Schizosaccharomyces pombe: one gene and its partners. The protein of the gene in region 4 interacts with the protein of the main gene of each other region in a pairwise test. Each region holds a gene or a part of one and is shown on either strand. Other genes may lie near its edges.

Region 1 (4,370 bases), on a different chromosome or scaffold from region 4:
TTAAGCCTTTCTTCAAATAAGGGTGAAGCTAAGAAAATATTAGTGATTGCTTGATTATTTACATAACTGAAACAATGGAAAACTCATTTTGTGTCATATGTTAAGATGAAGTCTTGAATAAAACATTCGCCTGTTCGTGTTTTAAACTTACTTTAGATTTTAAATCGGCAAGCCGTGAATTATTTATGGCCATGTTTTGTTTCATTTCTTCGTAAGATTTCTGTTCATTCTCCAAACGAGCAGTTTCAACCTTCAATTCCTGTTGAAGTACGTTAATATGGTCCAAATCACTGTATAATTGCTGTTCCAATTGCATCTAAAAATGTTAGTCATATCTCTTTCGTATGTATGCGTATCAAGACTTAATAACTTACATTCGAAGAAAGTAATTGAGAGAACAGTATTGACTCTTTTCTTTTCCTTGGTACAGGCAAATTTCTCAGAGGAGCTTCGATTTTTAAAAGTATATTCATGAACCATTCCTCGGCCAAAGATTTTCTTGTTTCTGATTTTATTGTATTCAAAACCAATCTGTTACGATAGCACAGTTAGCATACGTACACATAATGACTAAAAAAATTTGGAAAAGTACTTAAAAGACTTTTCCAGGTAAACATCAACAGCAAACTTTGATTTCCCTTTCAGTACACAAGTAAGCGCTAAAAAGCACAAGCACTTTTAGCAATAACATGATTCTCAATTACTTACCTTGAACACGTCCTAAAAATAATTATTATTTCTTGGCGCTGCTTATCCTCTAATGGACGCCATCTTTTTTGAATTTGGTCTCGACGCACCGCGCGAACGCGCCTTTTCATTTCCATTGCATATATTTATAAAAATGGTGCTACCACTTCAATTTTCTTTTAAGCAATCTGGAACTTAAATAGCAAAATATGTACGTATGGTTTTATATGAAAAATTTCTCTATAACAAGAATTCGCCGTTTCAACGTTTGCATGCTGTTGTAGCGCTTCGGACGAAGTTGTTTTACATATATACAGTCAACCAAGCCAATTCTCAATTACTTATTTTATTTCAATAATAAGTTGATAAAAGATTTTAAAAATCATAGTTATAATGTTTTCACAGCTATCCCAGAAATTACTTTAAGTAGTCTGTTTTTAATTAATACTACAATTACAATAAACAGAGCTTTTTAAATCATATACTATTGCTACCATTGAATTAAAAGAGAAAATAAATAAAACGTACCGACAATCGTAAATATGGCATGTGTTGCAAAGCAGTTCAAATGAAGTGCAGTATGTTTTAGAATATAAATCGTTTAGATGTTGAAAAGATAATATAAAATTGAATTCCTAAGGGTTTGAAAAGTCTTTCTCGCTTAATCAGTTAGTTTATTTCATCTAAACAAAAATTGAATGCTAATTAATCGATCACCAATTTGCGAAGCAAAACCAAGATTCATAAATAGTAAATGCTGAAAATTAACAACTATTAATACACCAACGACGGATAAAAATAGCAACATAAACCTAACGCAAATATTGTCATACACGCATCTGTAATCAATTGTGTGAAATACGGAACATAACTTGTTGTATGACGGATCATTGCTCCATAGGGAGGGGGAAGCTGAGAGGCCAGAGATGCTAGAAGAGAATAAGAAGGTCCATTATTACGGTCCAAAACAAATTGAATAGAGAACAAGCAAGCTTCGACAGTAAATGTCCACGGAAGTAATGGCTGAAATAAATATATTAGTATGCAAAAAAACAATTTCAAAAAAGGAAGATGAGGACTTACCAAATGTTTAAAATAACAAACAATCACTACTATAGAAATTGCCAAAAGATGAGCATATTTCTCAACTAAGTTTTTTAAAGGAGCTGTAGCTTGAGGAATTTGTTCGTTTTCACCTTGAAAATTTGTATCAGATCCCTCCTTTGCGGATTGTAACATAGCTTGAAAAAAATTTGCAAAATCAGGGTTTTGATTAAACATGTTTTCAGGTGGTACATTATATGGAGAATCACACTGAAGTTTAAAAGGCGAACTTTCCAAATTATGGTAATCTTGGGAAGGAAGATATTCCACTTGATCAGCATTGAAGGTATCATCTCTCTTTTCCATGAATCCTGAAGACATTGGCGTTACTGGTGTTGCAGTTTCAGAATGTACAGCTTCCTCGGAAGCTGTAGCTCGAACATCGGATTGACTGTCATCTGAATTCTGTCCCAAAATTTGATTGATTCTAGATGCACCTCCTTGTTTGATTTTATTCAGTCGACGTTCACGTCTAAGTCGAGCTTGTTCACTGGCAGTCGACATGTTCGAAGTCTTTGAATCAGCAGAAAACAGAATAAAATAAATAATTAACACCAAACTTTTTTACAGATATATATTTTTATCAATATTATATTGGGAAAAAATCAATAATGCTCACTTGAACAACTTTCCAATATACGAGGGGTTTGGGGTGAGAGAAAATAGTGATGCATAAGTGTTAGAAGAATACTGAATTCCTACAGCTGTTATGTTTGATAAGAATCATACATGTTAGCCTTATATTATAAAAAGGAAAATTTAATTATAAAATTGGTTGAAATTGCCATATCAATTGCATTTTGCTAATTCGTGTTTTTTGGGAAACTACAAAAAACTAAAGAACAGACACATATTTTCATTACAGACTAGCGAAAAATTAAACAAAAAAATTTCCGTTCATTAATTCAGATACAAAAAGGAGTAGTATCACCAGCAACAGCTTTGTGGTAGCACCTTATTCAATAGACATACATGCAAAATCCAGTAGATTATAGGATAGTCCCAGCTAAAGTCTTTCATTTTGCGATACTTTTAACGAAAAAAAATAAAGACATCGAATGATTCACCTAAATACGTTGGCAGAAGGAAAATCCGCTTCAAAATTTGATTTAGAATTGAAATGCAAAAGTCATAACTCAAAATAGTAGTAAAATGGTTACTGAAAATTTATTATTCCCTTTTTATATCCTTCTTGGGAGTCCCGGAGTCTTCGCGAAAGGCTGCGACTATATACAAGGCCAAGATAATATTGACCATTACAGCTGCAGATAATCCTGCGTACAATGTTTGATATCCTAAAACAAAATTTATCAGTAAAAATCAAAATTATTCAACAATTAGTATATACCTTTGAATAAAGTCTTCAACGTCCAAAAATAAGTTATAAGTGGTAATGTAAATAATGCGACACTAAAACCCACAAACTTAAGCAGAACATTACTATTACGAAAGTTAGTAAGTTTTCATTTCCAACATATTTAGTTAAGAATATAAAAGGAATAAACAATATAAGAGACCTAAGATTATAGACTGTTGTGGAAGGTTGTATGGAATTTCTTAAAACCAATTCGCAGTCCGGCGTAAAGAAATAAACTAATAATTAATAAACTTACGTAGGTATAGAGTTATTATTTGTATCTGAAACTTGGGATTTCCTTTCCATTTTAAATCACGAATGCAAGTTGTTGATGGTGGTGGAGACCTAATTTATTGGGACCTTGCTTTATAAGAGGTCAAAGTTTTGTCAACATGAAAAGTAGACAATTGATATTCGTATGTTGAAAGTCCCTGAAATTATTTGTCATCTTATTAAAATTTATTATCTTTGTTTATAACATACGGTAGACTTATACGTGCGACCTGCTTAATTTGTGTTTACATATAATAAAATACCTGGGCGACAAAGTCTCCAAATTCATAGTTCCTTGTTGAAATATTAAATTAATTAAATTAAATCGAGTAACAAATGTATGTTAGGGCTTGGTCGATGATCATAAATAAAACTGCAATTTACAAACTCACATTGAATTGTTTAGCAGGCAAGGGTGTATCAAACAGTGGTGATCAAAAAAGCAATACTCAATTACTCCTCTGTTATAACAAGTGATTTCACACCATCCATCTTCACTTGATACAAGCATTGCTATGTTGACGTTTTCATCAGCGGACGAGCGGTATAAAAAAAAGAGCAAATAGATTACTCAATGGGTATATTTTATGCATTAAAATTTACCATTTTAGCTTGAAATCAAACTGTTGAAGTAGATTTTTGAGGTAATAAAAAGCATTTAATATAACGATAAGATCAAGCCTAGGTTATGTAAGCTACGCAGTTTGGTATCTGATTTAAGGATACGTAGAACTGCGGTGAGTTTTCCTTGTGGTCTATTATATTACAATACACAGGTTGTATAAGTAGCAACTGAGTATAGGTATTGTATTAACTGGGTTATAATGTTACCTATCACTAATATAGCTCATAACTGAACTGAGGAACGAGGTTCAGTTGTAACGCTATTTATAATATTTCTAAATAGTTGTTATCAACGGGTATCTATGTATATAGACGGATAGTTACC
Region 2 (5,845 bases), on a different chromosome or scaffold from region 4:
CAATGTATATTGGGTCTTACGTTGCTAGAGCCAAAGCTTTAGAAAAAAATACAATTCAGATCATCGTTAATATGATGACTCGTTGGGTTGAAGCTTACTTAGATCAATGTGAAAACGAGCTGTCCGATGATTTACTATCTAAACACTCGGTTTTTTACGCAATTAATCAAAGTATTTTTTACATATTTTGCTTTCGTTGGCGTGAACTTTGTGTCTCTGATGAGTCTGAATCCATGGAGCCAAGACCTAACGAATGGATACCGGGCTTAGAGATACTTCATCGGTCCGTTCTTTCTCGGCTTAATCCATTGAGATACTGTTCCCCCAATATTGTACTTCAATTTGCAAAGGTTGCAAATCATCTCAATTTTATGTACGTCTATTCCATTATTGAGCAAAACAGAAAAGGAATTTTTAGAGAAGGGTTCGACACTATGGATGCCTATTTTCCCTTTGATCCTTACCGGCTTACGAAGTCTTCTATAATTGTTCAACCATTTTATAACGAATGGCAACAAATTCCAGGTTTGGATGATGACGAGGAAGAAGAAGACACAGACTACGAATCTTCAACCGTAATGTTGGGTGAATCTCCCTTTTGAATTCCTTTATTTTTTTTTAAATACCCTTTCTATGTGACATGTCCTATTTTTTCTCCGCTAATTTCTTACTCTAGACATGCCCATATTCAATCAAAAATGGTACTGGTTTTGGTTTTTATTTTAAAATAATTTATTTGGTATAACTAAGAATCACATTAATATAAGAAATACAGTTAAATTTCATCAACCTTGCAAACAAGTCCTCATTATACCAATTTTATGTTTCATTTTTAATATGTATAAGCATTCAGATAAATATATTATTAACTTACTTTTGTATTAGCTATGAAAAATGTCATAAATACAAAGCTAGAAATACAGTCGAGAATCATTATTCACGTAAAGGGGAAGTTGTATTAATAAATGAACGATCGGTTTGGAAATCCAAAGTATTTGTGCCGACCCACTCCCATACACGGGTCCATTCGCCGTCTACTTCTGATTCACGAGTTCTTACACTGCCAACTTGTTCAACACGTTCGACTATTGCTTCCCAAAGAGTTCGAGCAGTTGCTTTCGTCATATGAATTTGTTCCAATGGGCCATTTCCATGAAAGAGTATATCATGCATTTCGATTAGTGGTATAACGGGTTCTTGAGATCGAGACATTTGATAATTTGCTTTCTGTCTCTTCAAAGATTCTACACAGAATCGAGAAGCCGATGGTAGATACTTTGCTACGATACTGCGAGTACGAAAAAAATTGATGAGCTTAAAAATAACTCCTGACAACGCAAGGATTCCAAATAAAAAAACTTTGTTCCTCCAAACAAATTTTATCAGTTGCTGTTTTAAACGACACCGCAAAGGAATACCTGCCCAGCTATCGTAGCAAATTAATTTTGAATCCATGACAACTTCATTCGTTTCAGAAAGTACTGCCAAAGAAGCTTTAAATAAGTCCTCAAACATTTCAAGGCCAAGGGTTGGAGATTTTCTTTCAAGAAGCGTATCATGTAATAATCCTAACGCAAATGGTTTTGATGGGAAGGAGATATGATCAGATGATATATTAAGATTATCGGCGACATAAGGGTGCGCATTGTACGACATATTTCGTTCCAGCAAATCTGACGAGTTATTGCTACAATGCAAAATTGCATTCCAGGATCTTAATACACTTAAACATTCTTCACGAAAAATATTAACACTTTCTTCTCTAGAAGTATCACTAACGCAATACTTGGAGGGCCAAAATCCTAAACTTGAATACCATGGTTCGTAGAGGACATATCCGGGCTTGCATTCAACGTAATTTGGAGAGGGACATATTGCATTCGGAGGGCAAGTTCTACACAATGATGGAAAACTTATTCCAAGAATTGAAGCAGAACTTCCACTGGCACCCGAATCACAGAATCCTGCTGTAAACATTTTCTCCCGTAATAAAGCCAGAAAAATTGCTGCCACCACTCCTAATAAAATCATAAAAATATGCACTAAATAAGAAGAAGATATCGCGCTGATTCCAGGAAAGGCGCGCAAATTGTGAAGAAGACGATAATTGGCGTACTTAATGTCGTGAAATACTTTTTTAATAAACGACCAAAGTTTGCTTTCTTTTCGAGTCTGCTGCAAAACGTAATTTTGAAAAAGCTCGTCATCTTCCTCAGCAGAGTCTACTTCAGAATAAGGCGATGAAGATTCAGAGGGCCTTGCACTGTCAAGAGGAGCAAACTCGATATCTCGAGAGACTCGCTCAGGAACATTAGTAAAGGGTCGTTTATGTTGAAGAGGACTAGAAGTGGCTGAAGTTTGTAGACGATGTGATATTTTGGGAGACCTCAATTGTGGAGAAAAATTGTTTGAAGATGAAAGCAGCTTTAACCTCTCCGAAAATGCTGGCGAAGTATGTAAAGCAGAGCTATCCATAAATGACATAGGAACAGCTACCCTATGAGATTTATGCGAGCGAAATTTTGGTGTAGACGCGTGGGCTGGCGGAGTTTTCATAGTCAGCGATGTTTCCACATTAGGGCTCAATTCAGAATAGGACTGAAAGGTATTATTTTGAGAGACGTGCGGAGACTCTATTTTAACCGGGGTTTCAATGTTGCTAGGTTTGTCAATGAATTGTGGAGACAGAAGCGGTTCTGTTTCGTTGTGTGGCTTTTTCGTGCTTTTGGAAGGAGAGGAGGGATAAAGGTATTTAGGAGCTATTTCATCCTCGGAGCTAGACGCTTTTGAGGTGTTAGAGTTTTCCTCTTTTTGAAGATGAGACAATAAATGTTGTGGACCAGAGCTTAATTTGTTTTTCCGTATTCTATCCACCATCCTAATATACTCTATTTTTCTGGCATTCACAGGGAATGACACTCCCGATTCATGAAGGATCTTTTTCAAGTCTATGACACGAAGATTTCGCAATTCGAAGTTAGGGTCCTCCCAATTGTCCATGGTGAATAATTCAAACTGATCAAAAATGGTATAAAGCTGATATAAGCTAGTTAATTACATGAATCCTTATCTACATTAAAAAGGAAACCTGGCATAAGTTGCTGATTCGTGAACGTAATTGCAATCCCATACAAATTTATAATATTACAGCAATGAGCTATAATATACTTAGGAAATTGCTTGAATTCCACTGTTCAAACACACCTTTTCAAATTTAATAAAAGACTTCACTAAACGAAGGTAAAGCAATTTCTTATTTCTCTATCTTTGTGCCGAATCTTTGTTTTCCTTCTTTCTTTTTGCCAGTTAAAGTGGGTGGCAAATAATGGTTAAGGGAAGAAAGCTCTATAAGGAGGCATAGCGCAGCTCATTGCTTTGTGTCACCTCAGCCCAAATAACGTATATTGGGTAAGAGTGTTGCCCCCGAAGTTATCCTTAACCAACATCAATCACTAAGAATACAGAATCCATGATCATTAGGGATTACTCGAATTTTGACTATAGTAAAAAATGCAAAAAGACATTGGACGTAGATTTCAACGTAATAAGAAGAAAATTAATTCTAAACCGGGCGGAGCAATGGTTGCTTCCAGCGATGTCGAGTTCAGTTTAGATGGAATGTCGATTATGCCCCAACGAGATGGTAATCTCCAGATACCTAACTTTGTGAAACCCAAGAGTACTTTTGCTACTTCTAACATTGGTGAAAGCAATGGTAAGCGAAATGGCGATAAAGTACGCGGGAATCGACGCTCTAAATCTGGTCACAGTTCGTATGCTGGCTCTCGTATCTCAGGTGGCAATTCTAATTCCCACCTTCCTTCTGGTGTTGCTTCGGCTCCTGCTGGCTTAGGAATTGATAAGGTTGCCGTCGGAGAAGTTGATTCTCATTTGAAGTCTGTATCTTCTTACGTTTCCAATTCTTCCGGTGCTGATCGATCTTTTTCTTCGAATTCCTCTTCCGATACTAATTCCATTCTTTACGCCGGTCCTACATTTACTCATTCTCCGGCCGCTTCTAATCTTCCCATCCCTACGTTCTTACACTCTCCCGTTTCCGAAAAGGCTGAATGGCAACCTCCTACTGGTAGTGTGAACTCAAACATGCCTTTCCAGTTTCATCAATCTTCCTCTGTTCCTTCAACCCCATCCGAAGTTGCCATGGGTCATAATTTTTGTCCGATGTCTCGTAACGATCCCTCATTGCAGAGTATTCAACAGACGAATGGATTTTACAGTGGACACAATTCTCCTCATACTAACTATTCAGCTTCCACTCCTTCTTTTAATCACTTCAATGCTGCCGGCCATCCCACTGGTAACATTACCCCTACTTTGAATTCCCCTAATAACGGCATTCATTGTCATTCTACTTCTGCCCTAGACTTATTGTTTCATCGCGATCGTGAACAGCGCTTGTTCCGTATGCTGCGTCAAGGAAGTGCATAGTTTCATTGGATGCTTATTTATGTCTAAGGACATATCACCTTTTTAAGCCTCGTGTTCTGTTCTAACTATTCCACTTTTTTGTTTCACCTTCTTTCGTCTCCGCGTTTATCTACACGTGTTCGTTGTAGCACTATTTATTTGAACATTGGCCAAGAGAATTTATCATAGTCTAGTATTTTTGCTAGTATTATGACTTTCTTACTATCACCCTATGTACCTCTGTCTTTCTGTTTTTTTGGATTATAGAATTTAGCTCTCTATATGGGTTAATTTTGTTTCCTTCGCTTTTGGTTTTTAGAGGATTTCATACAAAAGCTACTGAATTCCTTTTCTAACGGCTTATAGTTAAAAGAAATGCCAACGTTTTTAATGGATTTCTTGGATTTGAAATCTTGATTTTTATTGACTAGATTTCCTTAACTTCATCTTATTCCTTGTTAGTTAATTGAGCGAGCAATTCATTTATAATATGGAAATGTTCGTCAATGACTATTTATCGAAAATGTGCCTCGTTTACTTTTCGATTTGTATGCTTAGAATGGGCATTTGTTACCTTTTTTATGAGCGTTGGGTGTTATGATCTGCATATTGCATTAATTTTATTCTGGCTAGTTTTTATTATGCTATTAATAATCTCGTTGTGCTTTTATCGAGATTTGTTTGAAACTTGTTTCACCGGTCTCGTACATTTTTTTCTCTTGTGTTTTTTTCTTTTAATTTTCCTAATTATTACTGACGTGTTGCCTATTGCTTTGCGATGACAGTACATCTTATTTTCCTGTGTCGAGGATTATAGTTATAATCTTCTTTTCCTCTCATGAACTTGGCTTTGGTTGCCAACCTTTTAAACTTTCGTCCATGATATACATGATGTTTGCTAATATAAGTGATATTTATGTGGTCACCTTTTTTGGCGAATGTTGTAACCTATCTTCTACGCTCAAGGAGTACATGCAATGTGCTTTATGCTTTTTTTTTTTTGAATGTTTGCAATTTTCAAGCCCTCGGTTTTTGAGCTTTCATTGCTAGTCAAGATAGTCAACTTATCGTTGATTATAATATCTTTCACTCGCAAATCGTTTTTACGTAAAGACTGAATTACGGCAACATTTATTGCTCTTATTTGTAAATAGTTTTGGAATCATTTCTTTTTAAAACTTTAAATTTATCTCTTTCCTTCATTGTTTACAAATAATGTTGCATTAAGTGGTGATTTAGTTTTTCTAATATAAACACATATTTCCGTCACTGATGTGTCGCGTTTGTGTATTTATCCACCTGATATGTGCAACAGTATTAGAAGGCACGGTTTTTCTGTGTGTTGACGATACCTGTTTACACATTCCTTTTAATCCACTTCCTTTACTTCTTTTCCGTTTTTTTTTTATTTTTATTT
Region 3 (5,060 bases), 390 kb from region 4:
TTATTTATTGTACCGGATACTTGTATTCCGTACCATTTCCTTCCCTGGCTAAGTTGAAATCCCCTGAAACCAAGTTGATTGATGATGGTAGTCATGTGCACAATGTCTATCAACATATATTTTATATCCCCGATCCAACTCTGGCTTTTGTTGGTTTAGCTCTACACGTTGTTCCTTTCCCTACTAGTCAAGCACAGGCAGCGTTCCTCGCGCGAGTTTGGTCTGGTCGCCTCAAATTACCCAGCAAAGAAGAGCAGCTGAAATGGCAAGACGAATTAATGTTTTCGCTGAGTGGAGCAAATAATATGTATCACTCTTTGGATTATCCAAAAGACGCTACCTACATTAACAAGCTACACGACTGGTGTAAACAGGCTACACCTGTTCTTGAAGAAGAGTTTCCGTCACCGTATTGGGGCGAGAAGGAACGAAGCATCCGTGAAAACATGTGGTCCATCCGTGCTAAGTTTTTCGGAATTGAACCTCCAAAGTAAATACGTACTTGAAAACTCATTACACCCTTAGACCTTTAAACTTTTCCCTTCAATCTTTTTCTTACTATCCGGTCTCCCTCTCATTCTCTCGCTTTTGGTTTTTAATTTATTATGTTTAGAAAACCGTTTGGAACAATCTGTCTTTTATGTATTTTTAATACACGGAGATTCACTACTGAGTAAATGGAATTGTATGTTAGAAAATCTTTATTTCTGTTTTAATAAAAACATTGAACTTATCCTTTATACAATAAATAGACTTAGACATTTATGTTTCAAGCAAATGCTCCTTTTATGTCAGCTGAGTAAGAAAAAGGATTAGCGCGTCTGCAAACAAGATTTCATTTCGTAATAAATGGGATCAGTACACTAAGAAAACAAATATATAGATGAAGGGAAAGGTATCTAAAGGTAGAAAAAAGAACGGAACGGAGAACCATCATTAGAAACATTTACTGACGGATGGAATATTCAGTACCATTTTGTGTAACATATCGAACCCAAGGCATAGCATGATAATTAAGTTTTGGTTCGGTGATTTTTAAATAACGAACTTGGATCCCTGAGGTAGTGAAATAGGGAATAGCAAATTTTAGTTGAACAGGACGTTTTTTCTGAACTTGAATATCTTCATTTTTAACACTTGGTAAACCCATTTCAGCACGCATGAAAAATTCTTTACCACCTGCAAATTTCTTAATGTTCCAAACCATGGCAGCTTGTTCAGGTGCATATTGCACATGACCATTGCTAGTTTGAAACCGAGGACTGTCAGCATCTTCCGGAACGGGAATGATGATTTGGACATTATTTGCAATACAACGCTTTTTGAATTGAGCCTTAGCTTTTACCATAAACTCAATTCTCGAACCTGAATGCACGATGGATTCACATTCAACCCAAATTAATGGCCGTACCTAACGAGAAATTAATATTAGAAAACGTTGATAAAGGAGAGAGGGAATAAAAAGAACAGGCACAAACTAATAACTTACATTTGAACTCATGCGATAGGACATTAAATCAAATTCGCCATCAGGAGGAATGAACGAAATTGTACGATCGTTTTCAAATCGAGCAAGACGAACACATTGGTGAAATTTCACATCTTCCATTTCCACAGTGTTTCCTTTAATGGTACGACCAGCCGCTTCGAAAAGGACCTTGTCATTGAGCCCAAGACGAAGTTCAGGCATTCCTGATAAGTAGCATTTGAGACGAACTTTTCCTAAGATTTCACTTTGAATGACCGTACCATCGGCAGCAGCAATTAAATTAACTGATTCAATAACGTCCAAAAATACTTCATTCTTACGATAGTGAATTCCTTCAGAACGCCAGGAGATAGCATTTGTCATAGCAATGGGGGGTGGAGCATGCTTTTTTACCGTATTTGAGGTTTGAGTGATGTATTCTTGCAAGATTTTTGTTTCAGTTGTTTGTGGAAAACCGAAATCCATGATCTCGTCTAACAATTCATAAACAAGAACAAAGTTATCTCGAATCGACTCTTCCTGCAATTCTTTAAAGTAATCTATAAAAACGTCCGCCATTTTACGCAAAAATACTAGCATCTCCATTGCATCGGAATTCATTTTGGATAAAGCAAGGAGGTAGACATCATTATGGTGAATGTAAATGTACTGAAAAGTGTTAGTACGACCATAAAAAAATAAGAATTGTTGGCTTTCATAATATCTAACTTTTACATACGTTAATGCCTTCGTGAGTGAGACAAGGGGTGGAGAATCCTTGTTCTTCTTCAACTTCTGATTTTAAAGGTAAAAACTTTTCAACTACTGACATGGGGATATCAGCTCTAATTGTTTTCTGTTAGTAACCTGTCGACGAATTGCGACAATCTGATTTTCATTCAGATTTCAAAATTGCCTACCGGTAATCACGGGAAATGATTACCTTTCCCTTTAAATTCAGAACGAATATAGCAGAAGCCATTTTTACAGAAGCCGCGAATAAGGCAGCTAGTTTCGCTCTGGATAACTAGCATTGACTGTTGGCTGCCTCATCACCGTGCCTAAGCACCGCTAGTGTAATACAGCGTAATTCACTATTTCTGTTTCTTACATATAGTACGAAATTCTTCTTATATTGAGTAATTACTACTCTATGCACACATTCAGTCTTCTTTTATAAGATAATCTATTCAGATAATTATAACTAATTTACATTATATGGTTTTGTAAATGCCGAAAAGGAAAATAATTTTTCTGACAATGTAAGAAAATTTCGGTATGTTTTATTTGACAACTTTGGCTTATAACAATAAGAATAACAAATATTTTAATAAAATTTGATCTCAAACATTGTAAATATTAAAAGCCACAAATCCCAAGAAAGTGCAACGAAAAAAGTTGTTAACTTTCACCAATGATAAAACCAAAGTGAACATCGTGGCTTTTTAAAAAGACACAGATTTTTTTCTAAAATAAAAAGGATAGAGAAATAACAACGTAAAGATTCCAAAAGTGTGTAAAAAATCAATATATACCTCGTAACCTTAAAATACCCAAATAAATTCCCAATAAATACATAACCTATACGCGTCTTTAAACAAGTCGAATACGCTTTTCATGAGCCCTTCGCTGTCTTTTTACGGCATCTTTTCTTTTTCGTTTGTAATCACGAGTTAAGAATAGACGATTTTCCGACCACCAGGATTCAAGAGCTTCTCTGCTCGTATAATCTTCATTACCTGGTTGGAATAGGGAAGAAGGATTGGGTAGAGTAAACATTTTTGGCCAACCCTTGGTACCCGATGAGGCTTTAACTATAGCTAGCGGAGTTTCCCCATCTGCCTCTTCTTCCATAGTTTCGTAATTACGGTCATCAATCTCACTTTCCATTTCACTTTCCTCACCAACTCCATTTTCATTGCCAAAAAGAGAAAACTTAGACGTATCCTGCGCATTGGAAGAAAACATTTCTTTTAAATTGTCAACGTTAACAACAGCAGTACGCTCATCAAATGCTTCAAATTCAGCAGGAACATCTATGTGTACGGACTCTTCCTTTTGTAAATTATCTTGTTCATCCAAACCTTCTTTTTGGAAATTATTAGTCGAATCATTGTCCAGTTCCAAAACACCTGAAGTTTTAGATACGGTATCAATTTCTTCTGTATTTTCAGAACCAAACAGTTCAGCTAACACAGATGCAGCCGTATCCTTATCTTTTTTTCGCAAAGCATCCAATTGCTCTTCGTTTAATTCTTTTGTGACTTCAATCTCCCCAGTTGTGTTATTAAGAAGTTCAAAATCGTTATCATCCTTCTGAGTAGAAGCTTTGATACCCAATTTTGCTTGCATACGTATTTTGTCACGAGAAGCTCTCTTACCCCCATATGATACATACTCATCATGATCAGAATCATAAAAAGCTGTAGTATTGTCCATATTCGTTTCCACTCGGCCCCATAGTTTTTGTAAGCAGTTTTTACCCAGCGGATAAAAAAACCTCGTTTTCTTAGTATTTTTATTATACATTCGAAGCACGACAATGGCCCTTCCATAGGGGCCTTTTTTCCAACCTTTTCTAGGAGGATCCTTCCGAACATCAGAATCCGTGACCACCTGCATATTTTTACTATGTTTTCCGGGAACAATTATTTCTCCATGAAAGACTGGGTCTTCCAGATCAACTTTGCTGGAGTGATCTTCATTTTTCTCATCATTATTAGTACTTTGAAGATCAGCAATTTTTTTTTCCTGCTGCAATTTTACTAAATAATAAGGGCGAGCTTCCTCTATACGAAGTTTACTTCCTTTAAACGTCGCATTTGATAAGTAAGACTTGCATTTCTGCCATTTATCTTCATCTGTTCGAAAATTCAAGTATGCAAATCGTTGTATAGTTCCTACTGGAGTAGATTTGTTTATAATTTCAAGATTTGAAACACTTCCAAAACGAGAAAATCTGGATTCCAAATCTGAAGATTCAATAGAGGATGAAAGGCCACCAACATAAATCCGTTTTTCTAACTCCATTATTGAAGTCAATTGATACAAAATGAGGACAAAAAGTTTCGCAGGTCAAAAAGAGTGTCTGAAATATAATGGGAAATAAACCCGAAAAAATAGTCTACCAATCGCTACCAGATAGCTATTTAGATGAGGAATCGAGAGCTGTGTGAGCAATGAAATTTTTTACAAGGAAAGCATATATACTGGTTTAAATCTCTATGACTTTCGGAAATAAACACTCCTGTAACTTCTTTTTCTCCTTCTTATAAATCAAAAATTAACCTGCTGTAGAAGGCAGGTTCTCGTTGAATAATTATATAAAATTGCAATGGAATTTGTGGTGTAGTAAGTAACCACGGCCTTGCCGAAGCCAAGTTGGAGAAGCCGCGGCTACCTTACACTAACAAACGAACAGTTTTCACATCATTCTCTTTCCAAATAAACCGGTAAAACATCCTTCTTTACTGGATTGGATAGTTTAATATGGATGTTGATGATTTAATTTACGCTTGTAGAGCTGCGGATGAGGAGTTACTAGATGAGATTATAGAGAAATGTCCACAAGAATTAAGTCGTCGTGATGAAA
Region 4 (6,281 bases):
TCTGGCGTGCACGTGTAATAAAATAATTGTAAAATGTATTTTAATTATTTTTTATTCAAATTAGTGTATTATTAAAGATTGTATGCAATTAAGTGTAGAACAATTGAATCTCATCCGTGTTTCGTGTCTTCCTCTACATGAGCAACGTGCCTAGGGCGAATTTAGCTACACACTAGCAATGGCTCTAACATATTAACATCTCTTACTACACTATGGTTCACTGGTTTTAACCTTACAACAAGCTCTAACCCAACTGTAACTTATAACCTTACAATGGCTCTAACCTGACAGTAGCTTGTAACCTAATAGCGGCTCGTGAACCTACCATAACTAGTGTGCTTTGTTACAAATCGGTGAATAAAGTAATTTTACTATTACCGTTTAGGAACATACTCATACAACTGCTCTTCGGCGTTAATATTGCGGTCCGACACGTTGGTTAATAAAACTATCTCCTCCGGGATTTCCTTGCTGTAGCCATTACGATATGCGACGTTGATTCACAAGATGTTGCATTATAGCATCCTGACTTGAACCACCTGCAAAAATTTTTTTCATTCTTAGGCGTTTGTTTATTTACTCACCACCCACAGGTGATAATTTGCTATTCACGTTGCACTGCTTTACTTACCGAACGGATCAATTCCACATAGCGAGAGATATCGTAAACGGCAAACAATGTCTGAATTTTCATATGAGTTATTCCACATTGTCAGCTCTATCTACTTTGATGGATCACAAGTTTTCCCGGATTTTAGGGTTGCTCAATAAGCTAACATCGGTTTCGGCCCATGAATGATGTCCAGCGCATGGTTTCTCGTTTGTGTCGCAACACCTAGTCCTGAAGTAGCTGAGTGAGTGTATAAGGTACAGAAATGAAATGAAGTCGTGAGATGAATACACAATCATGAGACATACTTGGCGCCACGTTGAGTAATTGAAATGATTGAACCTTTTTTGACGGTTGGTTGAGCAGATTGATTATTGAGGTTTTATTTATTAGGATTCATTATGTAGCGCACAGGATCAAATACTAGGTTGTGCAATACTACTCGACATTGCCTCAATTCATTACTTTCGCTAGCCAAAAAAACAATACGGGCTAATTGGAAGTTAAACGTGCCATAAATTTCGTCCTTGTTGAAATACTGACGTTTTCAAAGTTACGCATAGCTTGTCTTTGATTCCTTATATACAACATTGTGCAGTTTCTGTTGAATGTAGTGAAACCAAGCGATGAATAAGCTCAAAACATGAAAATTTTTCGTTTCATTTTTTTTTGACAGGACCGTATCAGTGTCGCAGTAAAATGGGATCCTAAGTATGCAAAAACAAGCAGTTAGTTAGACAATTTATGGTTGCGTATTGCTGCTACCTTCGCAATCGGCACAATATTCAAGCAATTTGAAAGCGACTGAATGCCCGAATTTCATTGGCTATATGATGAAAAGCGAAAATCCTACTTTGACGAACTATAAAGTATAATATTCAGCGGCAATGTTGTATTAAACAGTAGAAAGGTTTATTAAAGGTTTATTAAATGTTTATTTACTCAATTGATCATTGTTGAAATTTGCTTTTGAAAATCATTGGCGTAGATTCTCGTGTCGATGAAATGTATCCCTAACAAACGCAAAAACGTTTTTTCAATGCCTAGAAATTGAAGTCGTTGAACTACTACTACAGCAAAATGCCAAATCTGTTTACTTAACTGATTAAAAGTGAAACGATACTGAATACTTTTGATTTTTCAAATAAATTTGGTAGCATATGATCGGTTTCTTGTTCTTTTTCTTTAAAAATTGGAAATCTAAATGCAAACGAAGTAATATTAATAGTGGTAAAAATATTAATAGGTATGGAACTTGCTATTTTATAAGGCTGCTTTATTACTTGAATCCATCAAACTTCTCACTTCACTGAACAGTTTTGCCATGCTCTCACGAAAACTCCTAAATTACCAAACCTGTTTTTTATATAAACACGCGAATTGCTGGATTTGGATCCTATCAGCTTCAAGTACTTAATTCATCAGCGTTCAAACCCTCTTGTATTAACAGTCTACCATTTTTATTCATCAAATATTTCTCGCTTTATTTCCATATATTATGTTATGAATATTTATCGATTGTCAGCGATATATAACGTAGTAAATTCTTAGTGTATACACTTACCGTAAACACAACAAAACTCTTTCTCAGCAGTCAATCTTCGTACCGTCCATTTCTAGTGTGTTTATCTTGGTATTGTATCCTTTATTGTTTGTGAAGGAATTTTCCAGTATTGGAATTGGAATGATACCTCAAGAAAGGTATACTCTGCTAGGGTAGGATCAATTACATACATTGTGTGTATAGGTATCTGTTTTCACATAAAAAAGGCGTCAACGATAATTCGTCTGTTATTAATAATTTATACATTCGCATAAAGCGATCAAAAAGGCATTCAATTACAGAATCCTACTTAAGCTTCACTTTTTTGAATACGAACACTAATTCAAATTCTCGCCTTCCAATACTCTCTTTTCAATTTTTGTCTCTCTTTTTACATATTTATTTATCACTGATTCGTTTGTATATTTTTCTTTTAATTTTCAAATAGCCTTTTATACATCAATGTTTACTAATACACCGGTTGGAGGGAAAAGAGAGCGTCAAAATGGCGCTCATCCAGCTTGGTCGACGTTAGGAGCGAACTCTGCTCAGATTCATCAAAATACGGCTGATTTGGCCTCCAAAATGCATAAACTTCGCTATACAAAGATAAGGTCCCCTCCTACCAGGGTGTCCATTGAATCAATTACTCCTAAACAAAGATTTCCAGCTCCCAATTTCGAACAGGCTTACCACTCTAATATTCGATACGAGCAAGAGGAATCTGATAACGAAGAATTTGAAAACGTAGTGAAAAATGGACACGAAGCTTCGACGAATGTATTCTATGAATCAGATGGAGATGATGAAGAGTTTGTCAATGAAGAATACGAAAACAGCATCGACGAGGAAAGTGATGATGAAGGGTATAGCTTGAACGAGGATACCACCGCAACAAATGCCAGTTTTAGGTACCCGATGAATCAAAGATCTACAAGGAAATCTCAATTTTATTCCTCAAAATTTAAACCATTACTTTGGTTCGGTATCACTCTCTTTTCGACTCTCCTAATAATTACTCTACTTCACAAGGGTCAAGAATTTTACTCAAGATCATTTTCATCAGATAATTCCCAACCATCTAATTCGCCCGTACCAAACATTCCTCCTGCATCCAATGACACCAAAACAAGTTTAAAGCCAGATATTATTAAAGACTTCACAGATTCACCTTCTAAAGTTGGCGGCAATGAGGAATTCGATTATTCGACGGGAGATTTAATTACAAAAAAGGAATTTGACAAGATTTTACAACAAAAAGTAGAGCAATTAAAACAGTCGCTAAAGGAGGAGATGTCTAATTACAAATCATCGGTCCCATTTGAAGTTGAACTAAATGACGATTGGAAGTTCTTCATCGAATCTACGGTTCGAAAATACTTGACCGATCCGGTTTCCATGCCGAATTTTGCATTGCTCTCAACAGGAGCGGAAGTACTACCTGCCTTAACCTCAAAACGCTATGTGAGACGACCATCTGCATTCATACCACGATTTACCTCCTATTTCTTTGATTCGCTCGTTGTTAGAGGACACGAACCTAGCATAGCATTAACTCCCAACAACGCAGTTGCGATGTGTTGGAGCTTTCAAGGTTCAGAGGGACAATTAGGAATTTCCCTATCACGCCCTGTATATGTAACCAATGTCACAATAGAGCACGTTCAGCACAAGATTGCTCATGATCTTTCTAGCGCTCCCAAGGACTTTGAGTTGTGGGTTCAGGGAATGTCCAGCAAGATGTTTGTATTGTTGGGAAAGGCGAGATATTCTTTAACGGAAGACTCTATTCAAACTTTTTCGTTTGAATCCTCCAATTATATTGTCGCTGAACCGATACAGAATGTGATCTTAAAAATAAAAAGCAACTGGGGAAATCCCAATTACACATGCTTGTATCAAGTTCGAGTTCATGGGACTGTACCCAATGCAGACGAACAACCAATACCTTCTTTAGGTGAGAAAGCCGAAAGTACTGCAGAGAATACGGGTCAAGATTCATCTTAAAGACCTACAAAATGTAAGATATAAAAATAATCTAGCCTGGAATGGTTTGAAGATCATAAAAGAGCGATTCTCTTTTTCGATTTTCCTCATCTGCTTCCTCGAGCATCAATATCTTTCCCACTGTTTCTGGAGGATTTAAATTGAAGTTTTTTGCACGTTTCCAGCGTTGCATCCTTGTCATACCAAGATATGGTCCATATCTTGCCGTAGTGTCAAAGTGATGCAAAATGAACTCTACTTTGGTTATATTTTCACAATGTATTGGTTCACTAATCCTTTCAGCCATAATTTGATTCCAAGCCTCTTCTACCTCTTTTGAAAGCTCATCGTCTTCTTTAATTCTCTCATCCAAGGTTTTGGTTGTAATTGTAACATCGGGTGTAGGCGACTGTTCAGAACTCACTTTCTTCCCTATGTGGGATTGACTTGAATTACTTCGAACTACATGTGGAAACACGTCGCGAATATTAGTGTTTTGCCCTGATTTTTTCGCTTGAGTAGTGCGCTTCTTCATACTGCGTGATATAATTCTGTAACACTGCGGTACTAGAATGAAAGGTGCACTATAAATCCAATTCTTTTTCGTGTTTACTCAATTTAGAGCATTAGTTTGTTTGGCCAAAAGAAATCTCTGAAAAAGTACATTTGGTTGCAAGTGTACTTTTAATATGTATATATAACTTTAGATGACTACTATAGCGATGTTTAAAATGCGTCACGCTGACGAGAAAATAAGTATCCAGCCATCCGCTCGTTCTTTATCGTTATACATATATCAGCCTTCATATATATTATTATTCATTTAGGTCCAAGTATTTAAGTGCATTATTGATAATTATTAAAATAGAAACTTCTTGACGACCCCTATTTCGGTATTTCTAGTTCGTTGTTGGAGCAAACAAGAAGTAAACAATACTCGTTATTAGTTCAGATAGTATTGTGGAAATTTCATAATTAGATACAAGTATTTTAGCAATACGTGTTGTCTTAATCCAGCCTTGGTCATGCAATTGAATCACTTGCCAGCCTTCCTAACATATCTTTAATACGTTTCTAAAAAGGGTTTTGGTCTTTACCGATTTAAAATAGGCAATTTCGTAAATGCAAATAGATATACTTATTAACATTTTCAAAATTTAAAAAATTTATAGTTAAATAGCTTTGAGTATTGCAAAATTTGTCTTTTGTGCTTTGCTAAAACAGCGTAACTTTTTACACTGCAATTGAAGCACAAAGACAGTTGAAACTTCAATTCCCTTACAGCTTTTAGTAATTTAAGTATCTAGTTTCATTAAGTTGTCTTTTTTTAAGGGCTTTTAAACTGTTAGTTATACAGTGGTAAACAAACTGACCGGGCTTTCTCAATGATTAAACTGCACTATCATTAAATACAGTGTAGTCAACCAAATTGTTATATTTTTTAATGCAGTCGATAAATTTACATAATGCTTTCAAACGTGAAAGACATCCTTCGTAAATCAAAATTATTGAATTTGTTAATTGTCCCTATGCTGCAAATAGTGCACAGGTAGTTTGTGTTGCAGAATTTTAGTTTCCACCAAGAGGGTAACATTACGCTATATGAGGTAACACTTAGAGGGTTTGAATGCTTTTAGTACATTTCAAAGAACCTTCCTCCCTCGACGTCTGCCAAACGTGTAAACAAAGATTGTTAATCAGTTTAGAGGAGAACATCGAATCTAGCTGAAATGTTTCAAGCACCGAGAGAATCCACTCTTTGTAAGCATCCAATATTGCGCTGGATGGTAAATTATTAACATGTTGTAGTTTTGAGTGGTGAAAAAATCAGTGGAGAGGACGTACGAAACCAAAATGGTATGTTAATTTTCTTTTCATAACTTTTAACATTTTAGTTTTGGCAACGACCGCAATTGCGAATGTCGTCAAATCATCCTTGGGTCCTGTCGGGTTAGACAAAATGCTCGTTGACGATATTGGTGTATGTTAAAGACCTCGTGAAGAAAAGAAAATTTTAGACAATAATGGGGGATATTGGCCTTTAACCAATATTTATTGATTTGATACGCTAGTGTTGTAATCTTCTCGCATTTAAGGAAATCTTAATTGGCAGGGAAGAGTCAACCTTATATTGTGAATCGA

The links.
Region 1: the proteins of sad1 (region 4) and get2 interact in binary tests that used the Schizosaccharomyces pombe proteins (3 or more experiments, as listed by UniProt).
Region 2: the proteins of sad1 (region 4) and lem2 interact in a two-hybrid assay, tested with the Schizosaccharomyces pombe proteins (3 studies listed by BioGRID, with this or other methods).
Region 3: the proteins of sad1 (region 4) and apm1 interact in a two-hybrid assay, tested with the Schizosaccharomyces pombe proteins (3 studies listed by BioGRID).

Annotation. Positions count from the first base shown.
Region 1 is NC_003421.2:187,184-191,553, reverse strand, and holds get2 (GET complex subunit Get2), read right to left. Parts: upstream 2,441-4,370; 5' UTR 2,296-2,440; coding exon 1,771-2,295; intron 1,711-1,770; coding exon 1,462-1,710; 3' UTR 1,153-1,461; downstream 1-1,152. Other genes in the region: kinetochore protein fta7, read right to left, coding at 1-28, 152-316, 375-531, 709-824; vacuolar H+-ATPase assembly protein Vma21, read right to left, coding at 2,962-3,086, 3,140-3,231, 3,405-3,454.
Region 2 is NC_003424.3:2,231,753-2,237,597, reverse strand, and holds lem2 (LEM domain nuclear inner membrane protein Heh1/Lem2), read right to left. Parts: upstream 3,321-5,845; 5' UTR 3,001-3,320; coding exon 934-3,000; 3' UTR 825-933; downstream 1-824. Other genes in the region: RNA polymerase I general transcription inititation factor subunit Rrn3, read left to right, coding at 1-602; protein Edc1, read left to right, coding at 3,511-4,449. UniProt on the Schizosaccharomyces pombe protein: Nucleus inner membrane protein involved in meiosis. Plays a role in regulating nuclear envelope (NE) morphology and nuclear integrity, particularly during spindle pole body (SPB) extrusion or insertion through the NE, and perhaps during karyokinesis.
Region 3 is NC_003423.3:1,907,570-1,912,629, reverse strand, and holds apm1 (AP-1 adaptor complex mu subunit Apm1), read right to left. Parts: upstream 2,490-5,060; 5' UTR 2,451-2,489; coding exon 2,389-2,450; exon of another isoform or gene 2,314-2,388; coding exon 2,208-2,313; exon of another isoform or gene 2,138-2,207; coding exon 1,490-2,137; intron 1,412-1,489; coding exon 947-1,411; 3' UTR 815-946; downstream 1-814. Other genes in the region: fmo1 (flavin dependent monooxygenase), read left to right, coding at 1-494; ribosome biogenesis protein Nop8, read right to left, coding at 3,062-4,498; ribosome biogenesis protein Yar1, read left to right, coding at 4,958-5,060. UniProt on the Schizosaccharomyces pombe protein: Component of the adaptor complexes which link clathrin to receptors in coated vesicles. Clathrin-associated protein complexes are believed to interact with the cytoplasmic tails of membrane proteins, leading to their selection and concentration.
Region 4 is NC_003423.3:2,301,567-2,307,847, forward strand, and holds sad1 (protein Sad1), read left to right. Parts: upstream 1-2,199; 5' UTR 2,200-2,615; coding exon 2,616-4,160; 3' UTR 4,161-4,191; coding exon of another isoform or gene 4,192-4,674; 3' UTR 4,675-5,095; downstream 5,096-6,281. Other genes in the region: DNA polymerase delta subunit Cdm1, read right to left, coding at 4,192-4,674; chaperonin-containing T-complex alpha subunit Cct1, read left to right, coding at 5,870-5,900, 5,949-5,996, 6,035-6,120.